Linked DNA regions of Oryzias latipes. The protein of the gene in region 2 interacts with the protein of the main gene of each other region in a pairwise test. Links are inferred from orthologs where the notes say so. Each region holds a gene or a part of one and is shown on either strand. Other genes may lie near its edges. The genes, in order: rorb, nrip1 and cep70.

Evidence for each region.
Region 1: the proteins of nrip1 (region 2) and rorb interact in a two-hybrid assay, tested with the Homo sapiens proteins (2 studies listed by BioGRID). The link is inferred for Oryzias latipes from reciprocal best matches to the Homo sapiens genes NRIP1 and RORB.
Region 3: the proteins of nrip1 (region 2) and cep70 interact in binary tests that used the Homo sapiens proteins (3 or more experiments, as listed by UniProt). The link is inferred for Oryzias latipes from reciprocal best matches to the Homo sapiens genes NRIP1 and CEP70.

What each region holds. Positions count from the first base shown.
Region 1 is NC_019867.2:18,578,632-18,582,822, reverse strand, and holds the start of rorb (nuclear receptor ROR-beta), read right to left. Parts: upstream 2,801-4,191; 5' UTR 2,629-2,800; coding exon 2,610-2,628; intron 2,058-2,609; coding exon 1,972-2,057; intron 1,880-1,971; coding exon 1,738-1,879; intron 1,558-1,737; coding exon 1,126-1,557; intron 727-1,125; coding exon 605-726; intron 379-604; coding exon 246-378; intron 103-245; coding exon 1-102. UniProt on the Homo sapiens protein: Nuclear receptor that binds DNA as a monomer to ROR response elements (RORE) containing a single core motif half-site 5'-AGGTCA-3' preceded by a short A-T-rich sequence.
Region 2 is NC_019872.2:2,611,418-2,615,536, reverse strand, and holds the start of nrip1 (nuclear receptor-interacting protein 1), read right to left. Parts: upstream 2,801-4,119; 5' UTR 2,555-2,800; intron 2,410-2,554; exon of another isoform or gene 2,303-2,409; intron 1-2,302. UniProt on the Homo sapiens protein: Modulates transcriptional activation by steroid receptors such as NR3C1, NR3C2 and ESR1. Also modulates transcriptional repression by nuclear hormone receptors.
Region 3 is NC_019860.2:1,160,721-1,164,689, forward strand, and holds the start of cep70 (centrosomal protein of 70 kDa), read right to left. Parts: upstream 2,801-3,969; 5' UTR 2,549-2,800; coding exon of another isoform or gene 2,540-2,548; 5' UTR 2,410-2,539; coding exon 2,350-2,409; intron 2,267-2,349; coding exon 2,167-2,266; intron 1,987-2,166; coding exon 1,863-1,986; intron 705-1,862; coding exon 524-704; intron 1-523. Other genes in the region: double-stranded RNA-specific editase 1, read right to left, coding at 3,159-3,338.

The DNA.
Region 1 (4,191 bases), on a different chromosome or scaffold from region 2:
ATTTGAACATCTGCATGCCACCGTACTTTCCCTCAAAGAGCACAGTGTTGTTGAGAGGGTTAAAGGCTCTGCACATCCTGACCAAGACTACCTCCAAACAACCTGAATGAACAAAGTAAAAGAAAATATTTATGAAGCTGATATTTAATGTAAAGAGTTGAAAACCACAGTTTTATTTTTTTTACACTAAACTAAATAGAATCAAAAATACTATTATCTATTGGATGCATTTCCACTTATCATACCTGACTTGAGAAGTAGGATTTGGTCATTCTGGCACAGTTCCATGAAGCCTGAGATGCGCTTGGCAAACTCCACTACATACTGGATTGCATGGGTAATCTGGATGGCACACTGCTGCCACAGCACGTCCCGGGGCTGGAACCAATCATACCCAATTATTTCATGTATGCCATATATTTAGATGAAGGAATTATACAACCTAAACAAAAAATGGCATATTTGCTGAGACTAATGTAGCTGTGAAATCGCTTTGAATTCTATGCCTAATTCAAAGTTCTGCAAATGTTTTTTGTTCTATCATATACAGTGTTTAAACGGTGTTTTTTTTGTGTACATAATGGCAATGACATTAAATCCTTACCTTGCTCTGGTACATTTTGATCTCTTCATAGGAATGTGTCTGCCAAGCGAGCTGCTGTAGCTCTTCTGTTGTGTATTGACAAGTCTCCAAATGAGACTTGATAATATTTTGAGCAATACGATCTGAAAGAGAGAAACACTCATGTATTCTCGATTTTCATCCTATATTTGATAACTAAGAATCGTATCAAATTAAAGAGTCATGTGTTTCAATCACTGCAGAGTTGTGTGCTCTTCTGCTACTGACAGTATTCTTGTTACTGAATGTAAAGTTTGTCCTTTTCATTAAATCTATATCCTTCCCCTGAAGCGTCACCACAGTCATGACACATTGTTAGTAAGCCATGTAAACCTGTCTGATCTCCTGTTGTACTCTGAGTTTAGAATTATGTCTCAGGTTCTCCTCTAGAACTATTTCAAGCACATCTTATTTATGTTCCTTATGCAATTTCTATGCAGACTTCAGATGACTGTCATGTCATAATGTCTGTTTTGCCTGTAGAGCAAAATGTCTGAAATTACCGAGCTCTCCCATGCTGACATTGTTGGGCCCGAGATGACTTTCCTGGTAGCCTCCATAGCTGAAGAGGTTGGGTACGGGAGTAAGGTCGTAAACCGGCTCCTGCTTAATGTGCTTCATGCCTGACATGTCCAAACCCGACTGATCTGGAGACGGTTGGGTTGAATCTATCCCGTAGTAGCCCCCCGGAATTCCACCTCCGTTACTATGGCCGCCTTTGGGTAGGTCTATGACATGACCATTGGCATATGTCCCTCCGATTTCATGATTGAGAGTGGATAGTCCGTTGGTTAGGCTGGTGGAATAAACACGAGCCAGTGCTTCAGCTTCACCAGTCTGCTGCTGCCGCTGCTCCTGCAGCCGTGCCTGGTGCTTCTGCACCTCTGCATACAGGCTGTCACGTTGCTTCTTTGACATGCGGCCAAACTTAACAGCTGTATTTGGGCAAAACAAAGATGCAGAGGGAAAGATGTTAGTGATGGCTTTGAAAAGTACATTTTGTGTGTAAAGTTTTTTTTTTTTGCAGAGCTATTAAAGTAGAACATAGGTTCAAAATATACAAGAGCAGTATTCATTGTTGTGTATTCAGCACCAAGATTTCAACTAGGCCTCACCATCTCTGGACATTCCAAGTGCAAGACATTTCTGCAGGCGGCAGTGTTGGCAGCGGTTGCGGTTTGTTCTGTCAATGAGGCAGTTCCTCTGGCGGGGGCAGGAATATGAGGCATTGTTCTGCTGGCTCCGTCTGAAGAAACCCTGGTTGCAGGTCAACAAAGAGTACCGGTCTCAACTTCAGCTTTCTTAAAATGTAACATGTATATTTTTTGACAATGGAATTTAGGCCTTACCTTACATCCCTCACACGTAATGACTCCGTAATGGATTCCGGATGATTTGTCTCCACAGATTTTGCATGGTATAACTTCGATTTGGGCTGGAAAAAACAAGCAAGATGGGAGAAAAGATATGGGTCACAAATTTTGTTTCAAATCCAGAGTAAACGTTCATTTGCCCCTTAGCTCCTCAGAGTAACACCTTACTCATTCACTAACCACAGCAGGTGGTTTAATTTGAAGATACAGTACAGGATGGACTGAAGTACCTGACTATGCTCACAGTGTGCCCAAGCATAGTATTTTGGACCACAAATTCACAAGGGCACAGTGACATGTGAACATTCATTATATCTTTGAGTTTTTTTTACTGACTGGTGCACTCAGGACTGCATATGTGCACATCAGTCACAAATAAATCACTAGATTTTGTGCATTATCTTTTGTGTTGAATTTGACGCAGAAGACCCCTCCAGGTAAAAAAAAGTTGTCTATAATGGGAAACAGGTTACATCACAGAAGGACAATACTTTCTCTTCATACCCCTTTTTACTGCACTTATATACCCTGGTTCAGGCCAGCTGCTCTTGGTATTTAACATACTCTAATTGACATACACTAATTTTCTATCTCTATCTTTCTATCTTACTCACTGTGTATAGGAAGCTCCATGTACAAGTCACAAGCAAAGGCACAACATGGAAATCATTTCAGCACACAAGGATGTGGCTTTGAAAATGTGTTCCATTGTAGGAAGAGAAATCGGCAGTTCCAGCTAAGATATGGATGTACATGTATGTAGAGGTAGGCAGGTATGCTGCTGAGATGGCACAGGCTCTATAAAGAGATTAGACAGCCGATCTAATCCTAAAATATTTCCCGACGTGCTTGTTCTATCCTCTGCTGAGCAGTGTCTTAGTCCCATCTGAAACAGCCATTCATATAATCTCTTGCAGAGTTCCACCTGTGGGATAAATCTGCAAGAATTTATACATTTTCTGTGAATTTTAAAACAAATTGTCCCTGTTTACAATTGTATACGTTTGGATTAACTGATCTCACTTAAGCATGTTAAGACAACATTTCTAACACTTATTTTCATGTACAAATCATGGTTAACTGCATGTAAATCCAGAAATGTAGTTTCACATTTTTCAACTCAAAGTTTATAAACTTTATTTTCTTTTAAGGGGATTGTAATTTAAGTGTGTGTGTGTGTGTGTGTGTGTATGTCCATGTAAAAAGGCCTGGTGGAATGAGTGTGCAATATTCATAATTGGATAATCTCTTATGAGGATCAATGAAAGTAGTCATGTCTGTATAGCAACTGGCCAGGTAGACATGATTATAGTGAACTACAAAAATCTAACTGCACCTTAGAGACACTTGTAAATGTGTGTTAAACATGTAAATCATTAATGCAAAATACAAGAACAGTTTCTTTGTTTTTGTACTTTCACTAAAGTTGAACAATGGCTGCATATTCATAGATTTACCCTAGATTTACCTAAACAAATCCCTTTTAGTTTGCCAGTGTAACAGTGTACATTTCTGACTCCTTTTAATTAGCCGTACTGCAATAACATGCAGCCCAAGGGATGTAGTCCCCTCATATAGCTCCATTGTTATCTCCTTAAACTTTTTTTCCTTTGTCAGATTAGAAACAAAATAGGATTGTTGTATTAATGCCAATAATATACAACTTTAGTTTTTTTTATTTCTCATTTTGTTGTCAAAGTGCAGCACTGAAAGCTGTACTCGGCTGTTTAAACACAAATCATGGGCAAAACAATGACAATGATGTCCCTATGTGTAATACAATTGTTGATATGTCTGAGACACGTTATTTTTTAGTAAAATTGCTTACAAATGGTCCTGGGACATTTTCCTGCTCTTTACAGTATGCCAAACACACATAAAGAAAACCTGACTTGGACAGTAATTCCCTAACATGTGGAATGCAAGTCAAGCAATCATGCTATAGCCAAAACTCTCCAAATAGCAGAGACCTGCTTTCCTCTTAGAACCAGAAATATGGGACAGAATGGAACACTTCTGACTTTGGTTCAAGAGACTGTTGCCTGGTACTAGCGCTGTCCAAGATATGACCCATTTTCACCCGTTAACGGCCAACTGGCTCCAAACTGGGTCAGTGTAGAGCAGTGGACTGGGACTACGTAAGGACTCTATACACAAAGCTGTCAATGAATGTGGCCTGTAACATACTATTAATAG
Region 2 (4,119 bases):
GGGCCAGACTCAGACGGACGGATGGAAAACCCAAGAACCGTAGAGGGTCTATCATCAATATTGTGCTTTGGAAAATTCTAATCAATTCAGAAAAGTCCAAATCTAAATTGCCCCTATTCTGAGGACGAGTCACTCTGTTTTCACTTGGCTGACAGTTTCAAACTATTGATGTCAGAAAGTGAGCTGGTGGTAAAGCTGCACCTTAGACTTATTAGGATGCAGAGTAAGTCCATGTAAAAAATGGGCAGCAGTGGATGCAGTTTGTTCTTTTCACAGACAGAAACAAAGGTGTGCAGGTTAGCTTCTCTCACACCACCTCCTGCAGGACAGCTCCATGAGGAACACTGGGTGTGAAGTTGGGTCTGTCCCAAAGCTGCTTCTGAAATCAGGGGTGGGCTTTTGTAACCTGATGACACTGCTATCCTGTCCAGGGGTCTCCGCCTTCAGCTCGCTTCATTTTCAGTCTACATTTACTTTAGATTCCAGATAAACACACCCCAGTGAAACAGGAGTCACGCTGAAACGGTTTCCCCTAAAACTGCAGAACAATTCAGAGTCTCTCTGAGAGTCCCATAAGGGAAACCAGACACTTTCTGTTTGTTTTTAGGGAACGACAAATTCTACATTACACTTGAGCACAAACCCCTGTTTTCTCTAAAAACCTTCCATTAGCATCAAATTCTTTTTGGAATCAATTATTTTGCATTCAGATGCTTTTGGATCCAAATGAGAATTTGGCACAAAGTCTTCACCGAACTGGGAAATGAGCAAAAAGAATGACGGGATAGAAGTTTGCTTTGAAACAGTCACACCTGAGTGACGGATGCCGATGGCAGCAGAGACTGGTCCTACATGTCAGCATGCTTCGTGGAGCAGCATGGTAACTGCATCCCATCAGTTCTCCGTCCTGCTGAGCACACTAACTATAATGTAATAACTTTCCACTGGAAGTCTGATCCTCGTCGTCTCCTGCCAAAGTGCCCTTGAACAATGTTCGGTGGCAAACAGCTCCTGCGCTGGGCATCTCCCAGCTCTGTCATAAATCAAGAACTCTGCAGCAGATGCATGGCTCTTGCTCTCTGCTAGATTGTACCGTCACTTCCCTCCTTCTTCAGCGTCTCCACAGTCAAGACCCGACAGCCGCCGCCTCCCGCGGCCCGTTTCTCTGCAGTGAACCGGTTTTCAAGAGTTCCCTCTGTTGGTCCGGAGCAGAGATGAAAGCACTGACCCTCTCCTCTTCTGAGGCCATGGAAAACATTTTTATGACACCTGTGAACACGCAGCGGCGCGTCCCAGCACGCCACCTGCATGCGGCCGCAGTGGCGCTGCTCTTGTTTTGTTGGCAGATAAGCTTTGCTGTGATGAAAAGCAGCCGGTGGACGGAGCGCAGAGTGCAGAGTCCAGTCTTGTGACTGCTCAGAGGCTGTCCCATCATTTGCATTTGGCCGTTCGAAAGTTCCAGGCGAGGACACAACGGTCAACCGCAAATGTCTGTCAAAGCAACTGAGGGACACAGAGGTTGTGTGAGACAATCTCTCAGGTGGAACCGCCCAGTGCTATTCAAACTGTGGAAACGAGCGGAGCCCCGTGTGGAGCATCCTGAGTGGGTGAGTTCAGGTCAATCCAGTGGCTGAAACTGGGAAAAAAGAGGCGAAGGGCCAAACCTCCGGACGCAGACGCTCCTCAGAGGCCTCCATGTTTGACCCTTCCTGCAGCGGCTCTGTCACGCTATCACAACATCAGGATGTTACAAGCCTGAACTCTGCCCCCACCCCGGAAAAATCACCCACAACTTTACCTTTGTGCCCCCACGCTGATGCAAAGTCCAACAACACATGAGAACCACACAACCGATCAGCTGGAGTCCCACTGAGCATCCCATATAGTCCTGCCTGTTCCCACGCGTGAACAACACTGGAGGGGGGGGGGGCAGGTGTAAAGAGTGGTCACTGAAGAGGATCCTGAGATGATCCGTGATAAACCTGGACGACTGGACTGCAGACCTCTCTACAGCGTCTGTGTGTGAGCAAGCTGTGGGTCAGACCGGAACCACCGCGCATCCAGACCCCCCCCCCCCCACACACACACACACACACACACACACACAAAACCGCGCGCGCACGCTCCGAACCGTTCCCTCAAACTGTCATCAAAGCTGGAGCAGCTGAGGGAGGGGGGATCGCGCTCCGCAGATCCCTGCGCTCATCACGCTCCTCCGACTGTCCTACGGCGCGCGCGCCTGCATTACCCACGCAGAGAGCACGCACGCACGCCACATCGCACGGCTACATGCGGAACTTACGTGAGATAGGCCGTGGCCTGGAAACACGCGCTCCGTGGGCGGTAATGAAGGAGAACGGTGAGGCGGAGCGGAAGCAGGTTTATTCCCGCGACATCCCTCTGCGCGCGGCCCGCTGCCTGCTTCACCGACCGCCGTTCCACCCACCCGCCATACGGGCAGCGGTGACACAGCCCCCCAACCCCCACACCGACATGACATGACAGCACCCAGACTTCCCCGTTATAGCACCCAGACCCCCCCCCCCCCCCTTACCTGCGCGCTCCGCCGGAGAGGCGCATCGCTGTTCGGCTGACGGCGGAGAGAGAGCCGGCCGCGGCAGCTCCGACAGCGGGGGCAGCTCCAACAGCACGGGGTGGGGGGCTCTAGAGGAGTAAAAATTACAGCCTTAGTCCGAATATCGACTCGAATGTTCAGTTTCCGCGCAAGCTCAGGTGGGGAGCGCGCGCTGCGAGCGGATTGTTTATTCTCCTCTGTGGAGAAGTGAGAGACTGCCTCACTCCTCCTCCTCTGACACCTCCTCCCCCCGCCCCGCTCTGACACCACCCTTAAAGGAACAAGCCCCACAGCTGCGGCCCACGCACGCGCAGAGTGGAGAAAAGAAATGGTTCAGTTCTGTGCGCGTGGCCAAGCGCGCGCTTTTATCAAATATGAATCACGCGGAGACAGTGGTGCTCGTTCCCGCGAGCCAAAATATCACTTTCAGGGGAACATTAATAAAAGATGATCACGCGCGTTTGGGCATTTTTCTTTAATTTGATTTAAATGTGTAAATTATAATAATTATTTTTTTTAGTCCAGGATGATCCCCACCTTAGGCTGGCAGTAGCTGGGCAGATTCCAACGACCCCATGACCTCAATGTGAATCAAAAAGATCATATGATTGGATAAATTATCTTATTGGAGGTTTTTCTGACTTATTTCTTGTTTCTCCATAAGATAATTTAGGAGGACATCATCTCTTTATAATTGTGATGTTTATTTTATGACGGGGGAACTTTGGGTCACAATCTGGATCTTGGTTCCTTAACATGATCCTAATTTCACTCTTTTAAAGAGACACATGTATGTAGGCTTCAGTTGTAATTTATTTATTAGTTGTTTAGTTTGTAACTGTGTCAGATGTTCTAATGAAACATTAATGGGATGCTGTGAATAACATCATTCTGGAAGCTGCCTTTGCAGCCTTTGCTCCGCGGCTGCTTTGCAGGGATGGACTGAGTCTTGTATTGGACAGGTGTTCATTTGCTTTTTTCTTTTTTCTTTTGTGAAAGCCAAAGAAAACCTTGATGTATGTAGATGGAGAGGGACACTTTGATGACCTGCAACAAATACTAACTCATGCCCCCTCAAAGTTGTATTTACTACAATCAGAATGGCATTCGTTGAAAAGTCTAAGATGATGCAAAAGGGAGGCGGTAACTATTTCACTTCTAGACTGGTTTCAAGAAACTAACTGGAGTCAGACTGTAGGTAACCCTAGGATGCTTGATGTACAGTCAAATCTCTATACATTTCAATGTAAAGGTAATGTCAGGTCATTTCCCCTAAGTGGGAGCAATACAATTTTATTCTATTCTATTCAAATCTGCTATCCTACTGTGAAGGCCATCCATCCATTCATTTATCCACTCATATATCTATCAATGCATCCATTCATTTGTCCATTCATCCATTCATTTATCCAGTCATCCATTCATTTATCCAGTCATATATCTATCCATGCATCCATTCATTTATCCATTCATCCATTCATTTATCCAGTCATATATATATACATGCATCCATTCATTTACCCATCCATGCATCCATTCATATA
Region 3 (3,969 bases), on a different chromosome or scaffold from region 2:
CTCCCTATACGACTACAACTGAAGGTTTGTTGACCTTTGACCCGAGGAAGAGACCACCATCTTGAATGTTTCGTAAAAATCATCTTTAGGAGCAGCTACACATTTAAACTCCTAGAAAAGAAAAAAACCTTTAAACTAGAAGTTTTTGATTTAAGCATGGATCAGCTATATGAATATATTAAGAATGTGGGCGTGGTTTAAAAAACAAAATCGATCGAAATACTAAATGGTTGCTATGGAGATAAAACAAACCAAAAAGCACCATTGTGAAAAATGTTTTTTTAAGGAAAGTGTCACATCTCATGACGTCGCAGCTCTGATCAGGGTATCAGGGGCAGAGGGGCATGTAGAAGTTGATTTGTCTCTTATTTTGAAATCTGTTTGAGGGACAGCAGTACTGGGAGAGTAGCTGCATTTCAAAATAAAAGGTTTCATTGAATTTTGTTTTTTTTATGCTGAATTTCTACGGTTTTTGATGAAAACTGGGAAGTCAGATGAATGAAGGCAAAGATCAGGGACTGACTATGGCCTCTGCGCTGTGGCGCTGCAGCTGCAGCGTGCGGCTGTGCGTCTGCGCAGCCCTGCAGATGCAGCGGTCCTCCAGGTCCTGGACCTTCACCTTCACCTGGTCCAGCAGCGCCTGCAGCTCCGAGGCCCTCTGGGAGTGCTGGGCGGCGCGACTCATCTGCTCCTGGACCTCCTCCCTGGAGAAAAAAAATAAAGAAATAAAAATAAAAAAAGACCAACAGGAGAAAAGCCTCTGTTTTCCTGACTCCGCCCCCTTTTTTAAGGCTTCATTCCTGCTGGACAGAACTAAAACTGACATTCAAAATACTAAAATGATTATTTACAGATTGATTGATGATTCTGATCATTTTAGTGTCAAACTATGAATAAAAGGTAAATAAAAGTAGTAAAAAATATATTTTAATATCAATTTTAAACTACAAGTTAAAACTGGTGGTAAATAAATGTATATATATATATATATATATAATTTAAGAAATCCATTGAAATTTATAAATACATAAATACAATAAAATATTTCAAAATAAGAGCATGGATTTATCAAACAAGAAATTACCAATAAAATACTAAATGACAAAAAAAAAAAAAGTATTAACATGCCGAGTATTTTTTCATTTTAGTTACATTTGACAAGCAAACAAAAAACAAGTAAAACCTAAAAGTAAGGATGCCTGATTTCATTTTTTTAAAACCATTTGTTATTTCAATTTGAACTTTATTCAGTTTGAAATCCTTCTATAATAGTTTTTCATTTCCCATCATTAAAACTGTATTTGTTTTTTTTTAACCTTTTTAGACTTTTGTAGAATAAATAAAGTTTTTCGGTATTTCATGCAAAAATACATCATTTTTAAAGAAATGTAAATATTCTTTAAACCAATTTAAATGTTTTTGAGTTTATATGAAAGTTGATGGGTTTAGTTTTATAAGGAACTTTTACATAAAACCAGGATAAACAAAAGTCTAACAGGAAGTGCGGATGTTTGATCAGAAGTTGACAAAAGTTGGTTCTGCCGTCTGTCAGTCAGAGCTCACGGTTCCTGACAGGAGATCCTGATCCTGGATCTCACAGAGACATTGTCCCTGAGGGAGCCGTCCTCCCCTCAGCTGATGTTCGCCAGTCGTTTACCAAAATAAAAGCCTCTGTGTGATCGGATGGGATCAGAGATGCGGTTGCCACGGTTACGCTTGGACAGCAGACGGGGGATTGGATAACAGGACAGGTGGTCTGCAGACGACCAGACCTCACTGATGACCACAGAGAAACCTGAACCCCCACAATGCTGCAAAGGGGGGGGGGGGGGTCATCAGTCAGAGCTGGGGGCGCCACTCACCGGAGCCGGTTGTTGGACCCGACCAGCTCCTGCAGGAGAGCCTGCCTCCTGTCCGAGTCCGCCAGCAGCGTCTCCAGAGTCCGCCTGAGCGCCGCTGCGGACTTCCTGTCCAGCAGGCCCAGTTCTGGAAGCACAGAGGAGCAGGCAGGAACCAGATCATCAATTTAGAACCAAAAATGGATTCTAGTTTCTGTTTAGTCCCAATAATGCCGCATTTGCTGGGTTTTTAACCAAATAAAGGCAGCTTTGGACCATTTGGGTTGAATTTCCTGCTGGGCGGTGACGTCATCACCTGAGCTCTCACCTGCAGGGTTCTTGTTCTCCACGGGGTCCGCAAAGAGCACCGGCCGGAAGCCCCGCTGCTGCAGCAGCCGGTTCAGCGGCTCCCACTCCGCCTGCTGCTCCTGCGACACACACACAAACACACAACCCGGGTCAGACCGCCCGGGTCAAAGCGGGACCCACCTGGTTCCCACCGCGGCGCTACCTGGAACTGCCTGCAGGTCCACAGGTAGACAAACGTCCCATTTCCCCCCGGGGGCCGCATGTCCGCTCTGAACCCCAACAACCTCCACTCAACTGAAAACGCTCGTGCTCTGGCGCGCGCGCGCGTCTGAAAACTGAGCCCCCCTCCCTCCTCAGTTTTCAGTTACCAAGCGGAGTGTCACGTGACTCACCTGCAACATCCCGTCAGTCCCCTGGAACAGAACCGCTTTCCTGAATGAGAACCGTGGAAATGCCGGTGGAAAAGGTTCGGTTGGACTCTCGGCACCGTTTCGAACTCTCCGAATAAAGGAACCGAACCAGTCCGGACTCCGTAGAAACCTCTGAAAAGCACTTCAACAGGATAAAAACAACAAAAATCCTCTTTAAAACCCGCCACGAACACAACTGACTGTTTGGGGCTCAGATTCAAACCGTACGTGATGACGTCACTAAAATAAGCCAATGACAGACAAGATTTTTTTTAATGCAACTTTATTGAACAATTTGTTTCGCTCACTCACGTTTTTTTCCTCTTCATTTATTTATAACATTTCAACATCTGAGCGTCAAAGCTTAACAGAACATAAAAAAGATCAAACATTTAATTCTTTTTTCCTCCTAATAAACAAATGGTCTGAATGATTTCCATGTACGAGGGCTCCCCTCCTGCAGGTGGCGCTGTTGCGTCAGCCAGAAGACTTTGCACATGTCAGTCAGAAACAAGGTAAAACTGAGGATATCCATTTTTGGACTGCTGGGTCTGCTGCCAGTCCCGTCTCCATGGCAACCAGGAAGCTCATCTGAAAGGAGTCAGGAGCTGCTCAGGGAGAACCGGTCCTGCTCTGCGGGCTTCTTGACCCAGATGCCCAGTCCAGCGTCAGCCAAAGCTCTGTAGAGCGTGTGCTTGGCGGAGCAGTACTCCTCGGCCGCCCGCTTAGCCTGGTGGTAGCTGCTGGGCGGCGGGGCTGAGACCCGCAGGAAGGAGGACAGCTACACGGACAAGAAGACGGAGAAAAACTCTCACTTCTGCTGTCAGACCAAAGAGGATCCTCCTCATATTTAAGGCTTCACACATCTATAGCTTAAAAAAGGAGTTTGAGGCCTCAAACAAAGATTTAGAAAGTAAAGTGTGTATTTCTGTCTGGGATGAGGTTGTGGAAAAGCATCAAAATCATTAAAAATGCTTTTTTTTTCTCTCAAACTGAAATGTTCATGACATCACCAACATCTAGTTCATTTGAGCGTTTTATACGACTTTATATAACCACTGAAAACGTTAATGGTTTATTAAAAAAATACATTTATTTCCCCCTCAACAAAAATTGTTAAGAAGAAATTGCATTGTGGACTATATTATACTTATACTGGTGAGCATCAATGGACAGTGGTTGTTTGCAGTGACTTCTGGGAAATTTTCAGGACTCTCGATTTTGAAATTGTAGATTCGGACAGCTGTACAGAATGCTGCTTGAGCTACATAGTGCATCATTTAGATGTAGCCTAGTATTTGTTTTTTTTAGCTACTTAGTTTGATAGCAAATACAATTATTAACTACTAAGCTAATAAGGAAATATTTATTTGGGTTATTAGCAAATTAGCAAATACTATTTTTTGTTTTTT